Linked DNA regions of Lytechinus pictus. The protein of the gene in region 2 purifies or fractionates together with the protein of the main gene of each other region. This does not show direct contact. Links are inferred from orthologs where the notes say so. Each region holds a gene or a part of one and is shown on either strand. Other genes may lie near its edges.

The links.
Region 1: the proteins of BET1 homolog (region 2) and Golgi SNAP receptor complex member 2-like purify together in Homo sapiens (affinity purification with mass spectrometry; 3 studies listed by BioGRID and IntAct, with this or other methods). This does not show direct contact. The link is inferred for Lytechinus pictus from reciprocal best matches to the Homo sapiens genes BET1 and GOSR2.

Annotation. Positions count from the first base shown.
Region 1 is NC_087245.1:13,005,044-13,012,969, reverse strand, and holds the start of Golgi SNAP receptor complex member 2-like, read right to left. Parts: upstream 3,759-7,926; 5' UTR 3,678-3,758; coding exon 3,649-3,677; intron 1-3,648. UniProt on the Homo sapiens protein: Involved in transport of proteins from the cis/medial-Golgi to the trans-Golgi network.
Region 2 is NC_087246.1:2,291,716-2,300,141, reverse strand, and holds the start of BET1 homolog, read left to right. Parts: upstream 1-5,175; 5' UTR 5,176-5,276; intron 5,277-8,426. Other genes in the region: transport and Golgi organization protein 2 homolog, read left to right, coding at 182-317. UniProt on the Homo sapiens protein: Required for vesicular transport from the ER to the Golgi complex. Functions as a SNARE involved in the docking process of ER-derived vesicles with the cis-Golgi membrane.

The sequences.
Region 1 (7,926 bases), on a different chromosome or scaffold from region 2:
TCGCCACCCCAACCGCTGTTGTCGGAAAAGCGGTGCCTATAGTCTCACTCTGCTATGCAGGTGAGACAAAATTGCGGCTTATTGTAGCAGATCAATGCGGACGGAAAATATGCGAAGCTTTGGAGCGGATTTCTTTCTTCTTTTGTCTCGATAAGTTGGTTGCTTGCTTACAAGCATTCATGCTTTCTTAGCAATCAGGTAAAAAAAAAATCACCACCAATAAGAAAATGCTATGCTTTGGAGCGGCTTTCTTTGTTCTTTTTCTCAATAAGACAAAAATGCTATGCCTTGGAACGGAAATTTGAGTGTGAAAATGGGGATCCCCTCCGTGGCTCATACCTACTATGCATTATATACTGAGTGCCCCCCCCCCCCCCCCCCCCCCCCGGTTCACTCATTCAATGAACAAGGTTATGATATAACCTTGTTTTCACTTAGTACTCCATATGTGGCAAAATAAGGTTGGCAATGTTTGGCTTATTTTCTCTTTTCCTTTGGAGCAAATGCTTAATTGTTTGACACTGTCGGATTCCATTACAGCTATAAATCATCATATAATTTGGCTCTTAAAGGGATGGTCCAGGCTGAAAATATTTATATCTTAATACATAGAGTAGAATTCACTGAGCAAAATACCGAAATGTACATCAAAATCGGATAACAAATAATAAAGTTATTGAAGTTTAAATTTTAGCAATATTTTGTGAAAACAGTCATCATGAAGATTCATTAGGTGATGTCACATCCCCACTTTCCATTTTCTCATGTTATTACATAAAATAATATTTTTTTCATTATTTCATACTTGTGTGAATAAAATGTCTCCCTTATAATGAAATAAGTTGCAGCAATAAATATGTAATGCACTGAATCAGTAGTAGATCCAAGTTTTCTCGTTCTTGGAGAAAAAAATTTGAATAAACCTAATTTCATATAATAAAATACAAAAGAACAAGTGGGGATGTGACATCATCAGCCCTTCGCGTGCGAAGGATTCATATGCACATGGTGCACGCGAATTTTTCACACCCTTTTTACTAAAATAACTATGCCATTCCTTTTAAAATAATGTTTCTAATTGTGCTATGACACTTACCGAACCATATGGATCGTTTCTTGTCTTCTCTTTGGTGTGTTTTTAAGAAAAAAAAAGCATTTTCTCGTGATCTTCACGTAGATACCGCAGGGTCATCGTGGTTGTAAACTTTTGCTTAAAGAGGGCGCGCGATATTATTCACAAGATGTTTGTTTACGGTTCTGCAGCTTGTACTGCTAGCTGCATTTTAGACGCTCAGCATTATTTTCCTCTTTCTGTGCTTTTTTTTGCTGTCAAGCGATTGTAGCGCCATCAGCGATGATGAAATGTAAAGAGTCGCCTTGAAATGAAGAAAAATTATGTCACATTAATTCGTTAGTTTGTTTCCTATTTTTTTGCACTTTTTTCTTCTTCCTCATCTATGATCAAAGGTGAATACCTTTTTTTGATATCTGTTCTAAAGGCTGGACATTTTAAATATTTTGTTCAAGTAAATAAATCAACAGGATAGTAATCAAAGTGCGATAGAGCTGCCCGAGCTGAAAATTCTGATACAAGGACTTGAAAATAAAACATTCTGAGCACTTTTTATAACCATGATGAGGAGACCTATATATATATATATATATTGTGTGAAAGAAATGGATGAAGAGAACAATGGTAGGCGTAGCTTAAATCAAGGTTTATATATATATATATATATATATATATATATATGTATATGAAATAAGCTAACACGAAAAAAAAACGTTTTGGGGACTGTTAAATAAGAATTCATGAGTGGAATAGGTAACTATCTATTCTATTCTTGTTCGTTTTCTATTATTTGTGTGTTGTGTTTATTTTTCTTGAAGCACCAAAAGGTAGACATGTCCGCTAAGATATATTAACGAAGTCACCATCATTATCACAAGCTAACGGATCAAAATGCGAGCGTGAAACGTGAGCTTCTTTTTTTCTTAATTCAGTCTTAACGATACTTTTTCATCATATTTTAAAGGTGAATCTCATGATTCAAAATGATAAATGCTTGTCGCAAGGGCAGAAATAGCGGGACCAATAGTTATTTTCAATATTCCGAACTGCATTCTGGACGTTGTATAAGCGCCTTTGTATAACAATTAAAAGGGTAGGCCTATTTACCTTACAAATTATGCGAGCGCTGAACTTTTGGACATTTAAACCTCAACAAATGGACATTTTTAAAATATGAACAACATCATAAATGTCACTTACAAAAATGATGCCAGCGTGAAGCTCGCGCTTAGAGTTTTTTATATTGATGACAGGACTTGTATCTAAATGAAAAATAATGCGAGGGCATTTGCGCTTAAGATTTAAATTTGGGATTTGAAAAGTCCGACAGATTACCTATACTTTTAAAAGAGGAATGACCTCCAGAATTCAAGCGCGAAGCGCCAGTAGATTTATGTTAAAGTTTAGACCTAGAACAGGGACGTTGAACCTTTATAATCATGAAAAAGATGGTATTTTTATAAATAAAACATGGGAGTCTAATTTTGTTTTAGTGTTAATATTCAGATCTTCAAACTTGACATTTTCCTATCCCCTTCATCATCCCCTCTCCTTCTCCCTTTCCCCATTTTCGTTCTCCCTTCTTTTCTTCTCTCCCTTTCCCTTCCCTTTTTCGCTTTTCCTTTCCCTTCTTTTATTTCCTTTCTCCCTCCCCTACTCTTTTCTCGCTCTTTCCATTTTTCTTTCCCTCTCCCTTCCCCTCTTCCTTTCTTTTGTTTTCTTTCTATTTTATGGTCTCCTTTTCCCTCTCTCTCCTTTACCTTTCCCCCTCCCCTGATCTGTCTTTTCTTGTCTCTCCTTTCCTTTCCCGCCCCCTCCGTTCCCTTTCTCGCTTTTTCCTTTCCCTTCTTTTCTTTCCTTTCTCCCTCCCCTACTACTTGAATCGAGAATGTTCGATAGGAAAATTTCGCATTTCGATTGTTGTTTGCGTAATTTCCACCGCAGTATGAGGATGACCAAGGACGGATCGAACGAAGTATCCTGGTTGAGATTTGGAGGTAAGCGATAAAAACACCTTAATAAATAATTTATAATTCCTTTTTCAAATAGGCCTATACTTAAATCATACGATCAAGATTAACATAGTGGACAAATATTGAAAGGCTTGGCGTAGTTTAGTCCCTCACATTCGTGTGATGAATGAAAACGTCAAAATGCACTATGAAATCACATGTGTTGTGCAAGGTTAGTACCTCGCATGTTGTGTGAGTGGCTGCCTCCCTGGCTACGTCTCGTCTGCTCTTTCTACTGATATTATCAATATCAAGGGATTCTAGTTAGGAAGCCCTTCGTGAAACAGGTTTAGAAAGATTGGAACTAACTCCGTGGTTGGTGGATAAAGATATGACTAACGTTAGATCTAACTTGTCCGGGTGTTGTCGAAAAACTTTTTTAAAAAGGGTAGGCCGTCACACCATTATTTACACGTGGGACTATTCATACTATAGTTCCACTTCCAGATGTTCGGTTCGAACACCAATCGAGAAATCACTTTTTATAAGTTGTATCGTCTACGGACATATATCCCACATAAAATTTTAGGTCATATATATCTAGTCTCGATGCAATTAACTCACTTATTTGTTTCATGGTAAAGTTTCTCCATTTTTTACTTAAGTTTATCCTTGCTTGTCAGCTCCGAATCCGATTGTCCACCGTGGCTCGATTGTTTATCACGCAACGGAAGTACGGCCGGTACACGTACACGTTGTATAAAAATACCGGTTGACCCGTACTACGATTGAGGTCGGGGCCGAGAGCTAGAGGGGCGGGGTAGTAGTTATAGGGGTGGAGTCGGAGTAGCCCTTCTCACAGTTAGGGGTGGGGTTTCGCTTTCACAAGATCACAAATTTAGACTCCTATTCCTAGATTACTGATTAAAATCCAGGCAAATTTTACAATAAAAAATCCACATATATAGTTAAACGACAAGTCCACCCTAACAAAAAGTTGGTCCTTTTTGTCAAACAAAAAAAAAATGAAATATTGTATAATTCAAACAATAAAACAAAAGAAATAGTGAGTGAAGGACATCATCGACAGTATCATTTGCACGTTACTGAGTTGTGCATAATTGTTTTGTCTATAAGTGAAACTTTATAAATGTCATAACTTTCTTATTTTGCGTCCGATTTTGATGGAATTTTCAGCGTTATGCTATATAGTTTGATTTTTTTTCTATTTATTCAAATCAATATTTTCCTGGGTGCATGGACTTGACCTTTAATATGCCTAACATTGTGTGTGCATGGTTTATCATATAGACCTACATTTTTTTCTTTCAGGCAACCAAAATTAATAAGAGAGAAGTCACACTTTAAAAAAGGGTTTACCCGATATTGGGTAAAATGGGAACATGCATGTTGGTTGGATAAAAAAAAAATTATGCAATGTTGCTCTGAAATAGCCCAATATGAACCCATGGACCCGTTGCATAATTTTTTTGCCATAAAAAACTCTGGCAATTTTTTGCCAAAGTTTTTTAATGTATAAGTTTCAAAGGCATAATTTTAATTGTTTGCCAGAGTTTTTGTTTATTTCCCAGAGTTTTCTATGGCAAAAGTTTTCTGCAAATGGGTAAAAAAAAAATACCCAGCAAACATGCATGTACCCTTTCTACCCAATATTGAGTAAAATGTTTTTAGAGTGCAAGTAATAGCGGTTTCATTCTCAGAATTATAAAACAAACGCAGTGGCATCGCATTCTGTTGGTTCACACGCACGCAAACCACGCTATACCGCAACTGCGCGTGCAATGAAAGATATTCTCCTGCACAGGTTTCCTTGGCCGTAAGACAATACTTAAAAATTCTAAAAGTTCCAGTTTTCAGACCTTATCCCAGGACCAAAATCCAGTTAAAACCAATTAGGGTAAAACCAATTGAAACCAGTTGGCCAACTGGTTTCAATAGGGAAATTGGAACAACTGGTTCCAATTGAAAACCAGTTGCCAATTGGTTCCAGTTAAAACCAATTGGTTCCAATTGAAAACCAGTTGCCAATTGGTTCCAGTTAAAACCAATTGAGCAACTGGAACCAGTTGGCAATTTGTGTCAATTGGTTCCAGTTGTTCCAATTTCCCTATTAAAACCAGTTGAATCCAATTGGAGGCAACTGGTTTCAATTGGTTCCAGTTGAAACCAATTGGAGGCAACTGGTTTCACTGAACTGGAACCAGTTGAAACCAATTGGTTTCCAACTGGAACCAATTGGAACTTCCAGTTGGAATGAACTTGATTAGTTACAAATTAATTAGCATTTGCACTAACTATTGCTCATGCCAACACAGAAGCAGTGTTATATGTCTATTAATACCAATGTAAAGGGCATTGATAAAATACAGACTTTCATATGTACATATATTTATATGGAAGATCTTCAAATATATGTATTTTCATTTGATGTAATTTGGTAACAGTTAGTGGTGTACTAATTATCCTTTAATCTGTTTTAATTATAATCTATAACATTTATGAACATGGTTTTCACTGCAAAGTATTCTAAATACTTATCTTTAAAAAGTGTGGTACTTGTAATTGAAAAGAGAAAAATAGATACATTGTTAATGATGATGAATCTCATAAAACATTAATCTGTGCACACTGGCAGATAATATGCAAATTAACTGGTTTCAATTGGATCCAGTTGGGTAACTGGAAAATTTCCAATTGGAAACCAATTGGAAATCATTTCCAGTTACCCAACTGGTTCCAGTTAGGATTTCCAGTTGCCCAACTGGTTCCAGTTGGGATTTCCATAATATCAACAAATTTCGCGCTCTCATTAAATTGAAGCATAGTTTAAATCTGTGTTAAGGCCTGGGTATATCTATTACTGTTTTTCTGACTGCTTTAAAATATTCCACCATCATAATTATCATTGTTAAACATGACTAGTCTGACCTATAGAGGCATGTGACACACAGCAGAAAGAGAAATTGGACAATGTAATATAATTCAAGCTGATAAAAAATAAATATGTCGCCTTTGCAGACATTAATATGAAAAAACAATTAAAATTCATTTTGTGTGCTTTTTCTTTCAGAATAATCAAGTCAATCTGCTCAGTGTTTTGTATGCCAATACTTTTGAGATTTGAAAATTGACTTTTTGAAAATTAATCTATCCCACAATACAGTGCATAATTGTGAACAATTCATGCTTTTCTGCAGGCACACCAAAATTATCTTGTCATAATTATAAGTTTCAACAAATTCTTTCAATCATTTCTTCCTTGCGTTATGTTATGTGAATCATGATGGACAAAAAACACAATCATACGTTTAATTTACATTGGTCTAATGCTGATTCGTCCAATTACAAACTAATCTACCATCAGTTTATCCACTATCCACATGGTCCAATTGCCATTTCATCTAATACCCATTTAGTTCATATAACATTTGGTCTAATTGGACCAAGTATTTATTGGGCGAAACGAATGAAAAAAAAATAGACCAACTGGTTATGAGACGAAATGGTCATAGACCAATTCTGGCGATTAGACAAAGTGATTACGGGACCAAATGGTTATTTGACGAAATGTTAATGGACAGGATGGTATTAGACTAAATGAAGGTAGACCTTGTGATGAGTGGCAATAGACAAATTCGGAATTTACCTTATCATCATCTTGAGATTAAAAGTTCCATTTCCTCTGTGTATGTATGCTCCTATTACGTATGAGTGGAACAATGACCTACATAATGAAAATCAGAGGACCGCTTTATGAAAGTTGTCAGCTCTGAAAAAAATGACTTTCTCCGACAGTTACCATAGTAACAGAGGCCAGTGCTCTCAGCTAATCAAAACCGAGAATTTCACTGAAATTGTCAGCACTGACAGTTTACTCAGTGCTGACAACTTTCACCCCTGAATATCTCTCACTACAATACGCCAACTCTTAATCCCATAATTCTGACTATACAGATATACCTCAAACAATAACCCCCCCCCCCTCTCTCATGCAAGTTTAATTCACTAACAAATTATCAGGAATTTCTTGCTTTCATCTTCATTCATGATTATGATACACCTTTAACAAATAAAGACACAAGACACAGTTTATAAGGGGCATAAAAATTAATATATATTAATAATCAAATAATATACACTTCAATAGGGAAATAATATAAATAACATAATATAGTGTAATAACAAGATAAAGATGGCTCTTCGTTACATTGTTACCACTCCTGTCTGATTGCTTGTGTATAGACAAGTCATGTAGTGATTATATCTCCAAGCAAAAGATGACGCAGGAACGCCCGGTCTGAGTCGCAATCAGCCCCTGTCACTTGCCAGTAAACTGACAAATGACAGGGGCTAAAAAGTTTCCCAAACCGAGCGCCTCCCATGTTCCCTGCATCATCGATTGCTTAGGGATAAATCACACCATGACTACTCTACACACAGGCAATCAGACAGGAGTGTTAACAATATCACAAAATCATAATTTTGCCCCCTAAAAAGGATGATAAATTGCAATAACAATGCCAAAACAAAATAATGTATGAAGATAATGGCAATATAACAATACTTGTAATAAATAATAAACAAAATATATGCCAATATAAACAATAACATTGCATCAAAACAACATTTGCATTTGCAATATAAATATAAATTCCACCATGACTGGTCTACACACAGGAAATCACAAAGGAGTGGTAAACAAATCATCCACTTATAATGCAAATGATATCTGAACAATATTGCCATATATAAAATGTAAATATAACAATACCACTATTCCTGCGTAATCATCCAATTATTGCAAAAATAACGCATATAATGTCTGAATAATATTGCCATACAATGTAAATATAACAATGCCACTATACCTGCGGCTGTCAA
Region 2 (8,426 bases):
ACATGAGGTGATGTTTTTTTTTTTTTTTGCATTGTGGTCTGGGTTTTTAAGATACCATTTTAGAGGATTAATTTCCTGTTGACAGAACTTGTTATATCTTGCAGAATATAACCATGGAAAAAACAAAGGAGTTGATGATAAATATTGTGTTTTTGTATTATTATCACATTGTATCTGTCAGGTCTAGTACAGTGATAACCGTTGATGCTACAGGAGAAGTGGTCTACTCTGAGAAATCTTTGGAAGAACCCATTGACTCTTCAAATCTGAAATGGATAACAACCCAACACAGATTCCATCTTACATGTGATTTATGATGGATCTTTCAGAGTCTTCAATTATAGAACAGCCAAAGACAATGAATGAATTATAATCATCTTCATTACTTATCATAGCTGCAGAAAAAAAATGATCACAAAGTCTCCATTCAGGGATCAGAATGCTTTATTGTGAAATGGTAATTCTTTTTTATTTTCATGTCACCATTGTTTATTACATGTATTCTTTCTTAATCTACTTGCATTTCATATTGATTTAAATTTTATTATTTAATTTAATTATTAGATAAGGAAATTTGAATTTTATTTCTGTAGTTAATCAATGACCTGCTGTCAGATATGTCTTACAAAAACCACTGAAAGTACATTTCGTCAGTGATTTTACGAACTGGCGCAAACCTAATTTCGGCCAAATTTTTGAAATTTATTTTTTTGCATATTCTGAAAGCCTGTGATTTAATCTATTGATTTGCCAAATTTCAGATAAAAATTTGTATTATTTAAAAAAAAGGGCATATTTAATATTTGTACGTACCGGCTCAACCTCCTTTGATTTTATGAACTTGCTCAAACCATTCTTTGTGTACTATAAAGTCTCTGGAATGGTGCGCACAGGTCAAAGACCGACCTAGATGCGGCGCTTATGCCGGTGCGTATGTGCTTTGCGCAGGGTTTGTGCCTCTAAAAAAAACATACGCATGGCATGAATGATTTTACAAGCTGGCTCAAACCGTGGTTTGTGCCGCTAAACAGCAGTGGGCATGGTGCGCGTTATTTTACGAACTGGCTCAAACCCCCTGTTTTGGGTAAGAATTAGCAGCTCCTGAAATGCATACAAGCGCTTCCTTTTTAAATATTGAAAGAATAAATAAGAATTGCAAACAAAATTTTGTATATTACAAAAGAATAGACTGTATGCTTTAAATTGTTATAAATAATTGATCTGGTTTCTTTCAAAGCGCAAAGTTATGAGCTTCTGAAAAACATCGAAACTTTGAATGCAATTATCTGGAAATCATGTTTTGGAGACCAGCTGAGGTTTGAGCCAGTTTGTAAAATCACTGACGAATTTTCCATAGAAACTTTAATTGGTTTTTCTAGTTCTAGAATTAAGATCAATGTCACATTTCACAATATGCAAGGAGACGGGGAGTTGTGCTCCCTCTTTCTAGACACACTTGAATGTCCTTCTAGTAAAAAAGTGTTATGATGATTATGATAATGATGATGATGGTGGTGGTGGTGATGATGATGATGATGATGGTGTTGGTGGTTATAGTGATGGTGATGATGATGATGACAAACTACTTTTAAGTTAAAGCATATATACATATGAAAATCATAGAATTTACTTTTTATGCACGTTTACAGGGGAGGGGAGGGGACTAGGTGCTATTATAATTACAAGATATATATGCATTTTAAAAAAGTACCATAAATAATCTTACTTTGATTTTCAAAGTACCCAAATCATGTATTTTGTCATGCTTTCGTTAGCCTAAATAATGTCTAAAATATATGTTTTCATGTTAGGATGAAATATATACCCTTTCTATGCACCATACACACAAGGCTTTTTAAAGTATACATTTTATTCCTGATTTGGTTATGATACATTTCAAAGTACATCGCCCCACGGTGATAAACAACTCTCAGTATTTGTATGCTACTGTGGATGAGCATTGTGTCTACTGTGCACTATAATGGAATTGCCTGTATTGAATAACTAATGATAACTTATGAATATAACATTAGATACTTGAAAATTATTGATTCCAGTGTGTGAAAATGAAAGAATAAAATAAATGTAGGTATATGTATAATAATAATACTGTTTTACATGACTTTTTGTTGAGACTACAGTCATCTTGGTTGGCATGTTTTAATTCAACATTTATAAGTGTCATTCAGATGGTATTTAATTAGTTTTTTTAATGAAAAAAAAATTAAGGAAAAAATCTAGCCCGAAATCAATCCAACATGAATGAAAGTGAGTGATGGGTAATTTTACAATCAAGGTAACCCAACTGTCGCATTTGATTTTCTTTTGTGCATGTGTGTGTTATAAACAAGTGAAATGATATTTCTTTGAAATTTTGAGGCATATTATTTCTATAAAGATTCAGTCATGTAATTTCATGTGCTGACATTTGCTTTTTTTTTTTTTTTGAGAAGTAAGTGGATGTGGGCAACATTCTAAGTTTGTTGTATAAACAGCCAAACCTGCATTAGTGGCCACCTGTCTATAGCAGCCACCTGCCTGATGACTAGAGTGTCCACTAAAGCCAGTTCCCATAGAGGCAGATTGTGGGTGTAAGAACCCGTCTATAGCAATCCCCTGCTTATTCCCTTGAAGGCATATTGTGTGTATAAGAACCTATCTATAGCAACCCCTGCTTATAGTGACCACTAAAACTGATTCCCTTAGAGACAATTGTGTGTATAAGAACCTGTCTACAGCAACCCGTGCTTATAGTGACCACTAAAACTGATTCCCTTGGAGGCAGATTGTGTATGTAAGAATCTCTCTCTAGCAACCCCCTGCTTATTCCCTTGAAGGCAGATTGTGTGTATAAGAACCTGTCTATAGCAACCCCCTGCTTATAGTGACCACTAAAACTGATTCGAAGGCAATTGTGTGTATAAGAACCTGTCTATTGCAACCCCTGCTTATTACCTTGAAAGCAATTGTATAAGAACCTGTCTATAGCAACCCCCTGCTTATTACCTTGAAAGCAATTGTGTGTATAAGAAACTGTCTATAGCAACCCCCTGCCTATAGTGACCACTAAAACTGATTCCCTTTAGGCAGATTGTGTTTATTATAAGAACCTCTCTATAGCAACCCCCTGCTTATTCCCTTGAAGGCAGATTGTGTTTATGAGAACCTGTTATCTGTCTATAGCAACCTCCTGTCCATAAAGGCCACATTTTGTGTTTCCCTTGGGTGTCACTATGACAGGTTTCACTGCATAGACAAAAGCATTCGTAATTGATTCATGACTATGTGTAAAAATATCTAATTCAGAGCTAGAAAACATTTTTGGATAGAATTTGCACCCCATTTTTGGTTAATAGTCACCAAAAAATTTCAACATCTTTGGGGGAATTTCATTTTTCATTTTTGAATAAGGTTTGATTGGCAAAACAATGCCTGATTATTTCTAAAAATAGAATGTGCAGGCTCGAAATAAGGGAAAATTAAACTAAATGAGAGTAATTTTGGCCCTAAAATGCCTGCTAAAGGTAATATATAGAAAAGTAAACTTGTATTTCAATCATTTTCTTTGCAGGTTGCTCTGTAAAATAATATTTAAATTGTGAAGCAAAAGGTCACACAATTATTTCTCTAGTTATAGGAGATAAATCTTTTAATTACATATTCCATCGATTCATTTTTTGGAGAGGACGCTTTGGACAGAAATGGATTTGGCAACATAGGAACATGAACTACATGGCGCGATAGCTCAGTCGGTAGAGCGGGGGTTTCGAATTTTGGTGACCCGGGTTCGATTCCCAAGTGGTGCGCTAGTGCCCTTTGGTAAGGCATTTATCCTCATTACCAAGTCCCTCGGAGAGGACCTTAAGCCATTGGTCCCCTGGTTGCTTGCTCACAGGCATTCATGCTTTCTTAGCAGTCAGGTAAAAAACCTCGGTATAACTAAAATAAGTGGATGCGTGTGGGCAAAGTGGACACTTTAAAGGGGAAGTTCACCCTGACAAAAATTTTATTGTAAAAATAACACAAAGCACAACAGAAAATATTGTTGGAGGTTTGAGGAAAATCCATCAGAGATTTAGAGATGAATACCAGTTGTGGTAACGATCTCAAAATCAGTTCGAACAGAATCCAATAAAATTATCACCAAAGTGTTTGTATGTAGGTCCTATAATGAAAAAAGATGTTCCAAATATCTCTGGAAGAAAATGCGTAATTGCTGACAGAAGCGGATCTAGAGGGGGGGTTGGGGGGGTTGCAACCCCCCCAAAAAAAAAAAAATCCGGGGACCATTTTTTTAAATCTTATCTTTTTTTTTAAACTTGTAATTTTAGAAAACGCCATTTTCACACACAGATTTTCAAAAATTTTCCCTACTGTGGGAGGGGGGACACCCCCCTCCCACACCCTCCCCCCTCGCTCGCTCCGCTCGCTTGGACTCGGTCGCTACGCTCCCTCGCATACCACCCCAACCCCCCCTTTATAAAAAGCTGGATCCGCCCCTGGCTGAGAAATGAGCAAAATAAGCATGGAATTTCATAAAATGTCAGTTATTTTTCCAAGCAATATTAATACACTGTTATGGCTTGATGGTAAAAATTATCGGTTTTCAGCTAAAACTTCATGATTTCACAAAGATAAGTTATATCAATGTACCAGATCTCGATGTATGATAAGGTAATATTTTAACAATTAACCTTCAGACTTTTTCATTAAATAATTGTTTGCTTCAACTACTTTCTTTTACCCTTAAATTCTATGAGCATTTTAATTTTTTATTTTTGACATCACATGTGAGCATCTTCACATGTATCAAGAATTATGAAAAGTCAGTCGAATGTCACTTTCTCAAAGAAAAATTAAAAAGGGTTTTTAACAGGGACGTCCCCTTTTTTCAGTTACAAGTGTTAGCTTTGTAGACAAAACATTATTAATTAATTTCTAACTAGATCGAACTGTTATACATAAAAATACAGAATTAGGAGAGGACATTTTCAAACACCCAATTTTCGGTTAATAATAGTATCAGAAACAATCAAATTATCTGCATAATTGAATCAACAAATGGATTGCTGGTGAGGAGAGAGGGAAAAAATAGGAATTCTTGTCTACTATGTTCAAGTTTTTTTCCCCGATTATGTATAACTTTGCTATAGTACGGTATTACTGGTAATAAATAATCGGCTACGTTCAATTATTTCTGCTACGTGTTATTCAATTTGGTTGGCGAAAATAAAAGGGAATTTCGTATTTTGATTGCAGCCAGGAGGCGGATGTTTGTAAGTAGAACTATACAATCGGTATAATATTGTAGCTCTTGACTAATATTATAGATTGATGTGTTGGCTGACACTTGACAGTGAGGTTTTAAGTTTTGTAGAGCTTTGTTTGAGCCGTGGACACTTGAGTCGGAGACTGAGCTGATGCGCAGTGACTGATCTGTCCTGGCTGTGTCTGATGTGGCAATGCGCCACAACTGAGCCGTGGCGCGGCGGCAGCGCAGTGGGCGCTGGCCGGCGGGCACCTCAGGCGATGGTTCGTGTGTATGTAGACAGCTGGCAGACGTCTGTTTCGAGGAGTCTTTTAAACATTTTTAAAAATTTCTCATAATGAGTCATATGCAGACGGCTCGGATCATGCAGGTTAACAATGCAAAATCCCCCCGATCAATGTGCTCATCGATTTTTTACTTGGGCCCTAGTTATATTTTGTCTTTATTTCATTAAAAAATATAAGAAATAAGAAGAATTCAACTGGACCAAAATAAAGATTATTTTTCTGTTTTGGCCTGAAATGCACCAAAACGGGAAAAAAATAAACTTAAAAGGACAAAAACAGTGATTTACTTCGGCTGTCGCGCAACTCCCACTTTCTTGGTTTGTCCGAACTTAATATGGCCAGAGTTCCTGTAACGTTGCAGATCAAGTTAGAAGTAGCCTAGGTATATAGAACTTCTGTCTCTGTCAGGGTGACCAGATTTCACAAAATGAAATACGGGACAATCGACAAAGCACGCTGCACGAGCGGGTGGACCGAGCCAGGTCTTAAAGGACAAGTCCACCCCAACAAAAAGTTGATTTTAATAAAAAGAGAAAAATCCAACAAGCATAACACTGAAAATTTCTTCAAAATCAGATTTAACATAAGAAAGTTATGACATTTTAAAGTTTCGCTTAATTTCACAAAACAGTTATACATGTATGCACATCCTGGTCGGAATGCAAATGAGGAGACTGATGACGTCATCTACTCACTATTTCTTTTGTATTTTATTATTTGAAATATGAAATATTCTAATTTTCCCCTCATTGTCAAGTGAAACAACGATTAATTCCTCCCTGAACATGTGGAATTAGCATTGTTTAATGGTTCAGTCAAGTTGGCCCTTATTGTGAAATCTGTAAAATATGAAATATTGTATAATTCAAACAATAAAAACAAAATAAAAAGTGAGTGATTGACATCATCGACCGACTCATCTGCATGTCACTGAGTTGTGCATATCAATTATCACTGTTCTGTGAAAAATAAAGGAAACTTTAAAATTCCATAACTTTCTTATTCTACATCCGATTTTGATGAAATTTTCAGCATTATGCTAGTTTGATTTTTCTCTATTTATTCAAATCAACATTTTTCTGGGGTGGACTTGACCTTTAACAGGGCGCGACAAAACCGCTTGCCTGGGGGAAGTGAAAATGACCTGCGGGCAAGCATTTATCAAAGTCAATTGCCCGATCGGGCAAGTGGTTGTTTTGAAAATGAAAACGATATTACAGTAAATTTTAATAATTTTTCGATAAATTGCAATTATCGGCCAATTATCTCTCATAGTCATACAAAATGTCATACCAGTAAAAAAACAGTGGGAACATGTCAAATCAGCGCCAATTTACCGAAAATTTATCGCCAGCGGTCCTGTTCGATGGGGGCTGCCATCTTTATTTCTAAACTATACTGTGCGCATGCGCTACTAATTGACGAAGGAGCTAGCTGGGGAAACCCCTCTCTCGCCCTCTTAGCGCATGCTCTAATACATCGGCGCTACAGTACATGTACGTACGTACACGAGCGATCGCGAGCCAGCCGACTCTCGAGCTAGATCGCGCTGAATGCATGCAAGCTTCGGACTGACTCGGCCAGGACTCGGCATCAACTTCAAACCAAATAAACAATGAGTCGTCAGACTAAAATAGGTGACTTTTGTTGTCGCGATCGGCGACCAGAACAACTTGAACAAGAGTCAAGAAAAAGAAATGCCGAGGCCAGCGCCAGTAAATCAAGTTCAACCAGGACAGAAAAGAATAATTAAGAGCTAAAGAATTTTTGAAAAATATCGGGCAAGCAGTTTTTTCTATCGGGCAAGCAAATTTTTTATCACTTGCCCGACATGGGCAAGTGATGAAATTCTTTTTTGTAGAGGCCTGCTTTGTTAAAAAAAAGATGAACAAAGAAGGCTACACAGTGTTAGACTTCACTTGTGAAAAAAATATAAAGAATTGGAAGGGAGGGTGAACAAAAGAATGAAGGGGAGAAAGAAAAGACGAAAGAAAAGAGATGAATTGAGAAGAAAAACAAAATGAAGGGGGAAATGGAGAAAATTTAAAAGAAAGGTTAGAATAAAAGAAGAATGGAAGAAAGAATAAAAGAGAGAAAAAAGGTTTCCATCATTCTTTGAAATGAATATAGATAGAAAGAAAAAGAAAAAGAAATGAAGGAAAGATGAATAAATGTGTGAAAGAAAAAGTAAAGGAGAGAAAGGAAAAAAAAAGTAAGAAAAAAGGAGGAGGAAAGAAAGAATGAAAGAAATAAAACGGTTTCCTTCATTCTTTGAAAGAAAAAAAGAAAGAAGAAAAACAGGAATGGAGGAAGGAAGAAAGGAAGAAAGGAAGGGAAAGAAAGAATAATGGAAAAGAATTAGAAGGAAAAATAAAATAAAGAATGAAAGAAAGGATGAAAAAGAGGGAGAATAGTATGAAAAAAGAAAATAATGGAAGGAGAGAAAGAAGGAAAAGAAAAAGGAGAGGAAGGGAGAAGGATTTTTTTTTTTTTTTTTTTATATATTTCAAATAAAAAAAGTAAAATGTTTTAGAAATGAATAAAATTTCAAAGTGAAACATTGTCAAACTTAAAAAATAGATGAAACATCGCGGCCATACACAGGCATCACTCCCATCCCATTACAAGGTCGCAGCGATCACAAAAAGACTCAAAATGAAAGCTGAAACAACTAGATCTAGTTATATAAACTCAATAACTTGTTCCTCCGATTACATCTCCAAATCAGTAATCTGAGAATCCATAGTATAATTATAAATATTTCCCGCCGATTCCGTGTTTATTTTGGTGTAAAACTGTTTAACATGTGAGATTTTTTGCACCATTTAGAATCTGCTCTGATCCTACATGCCTAGCTAGTATAGCCTGCC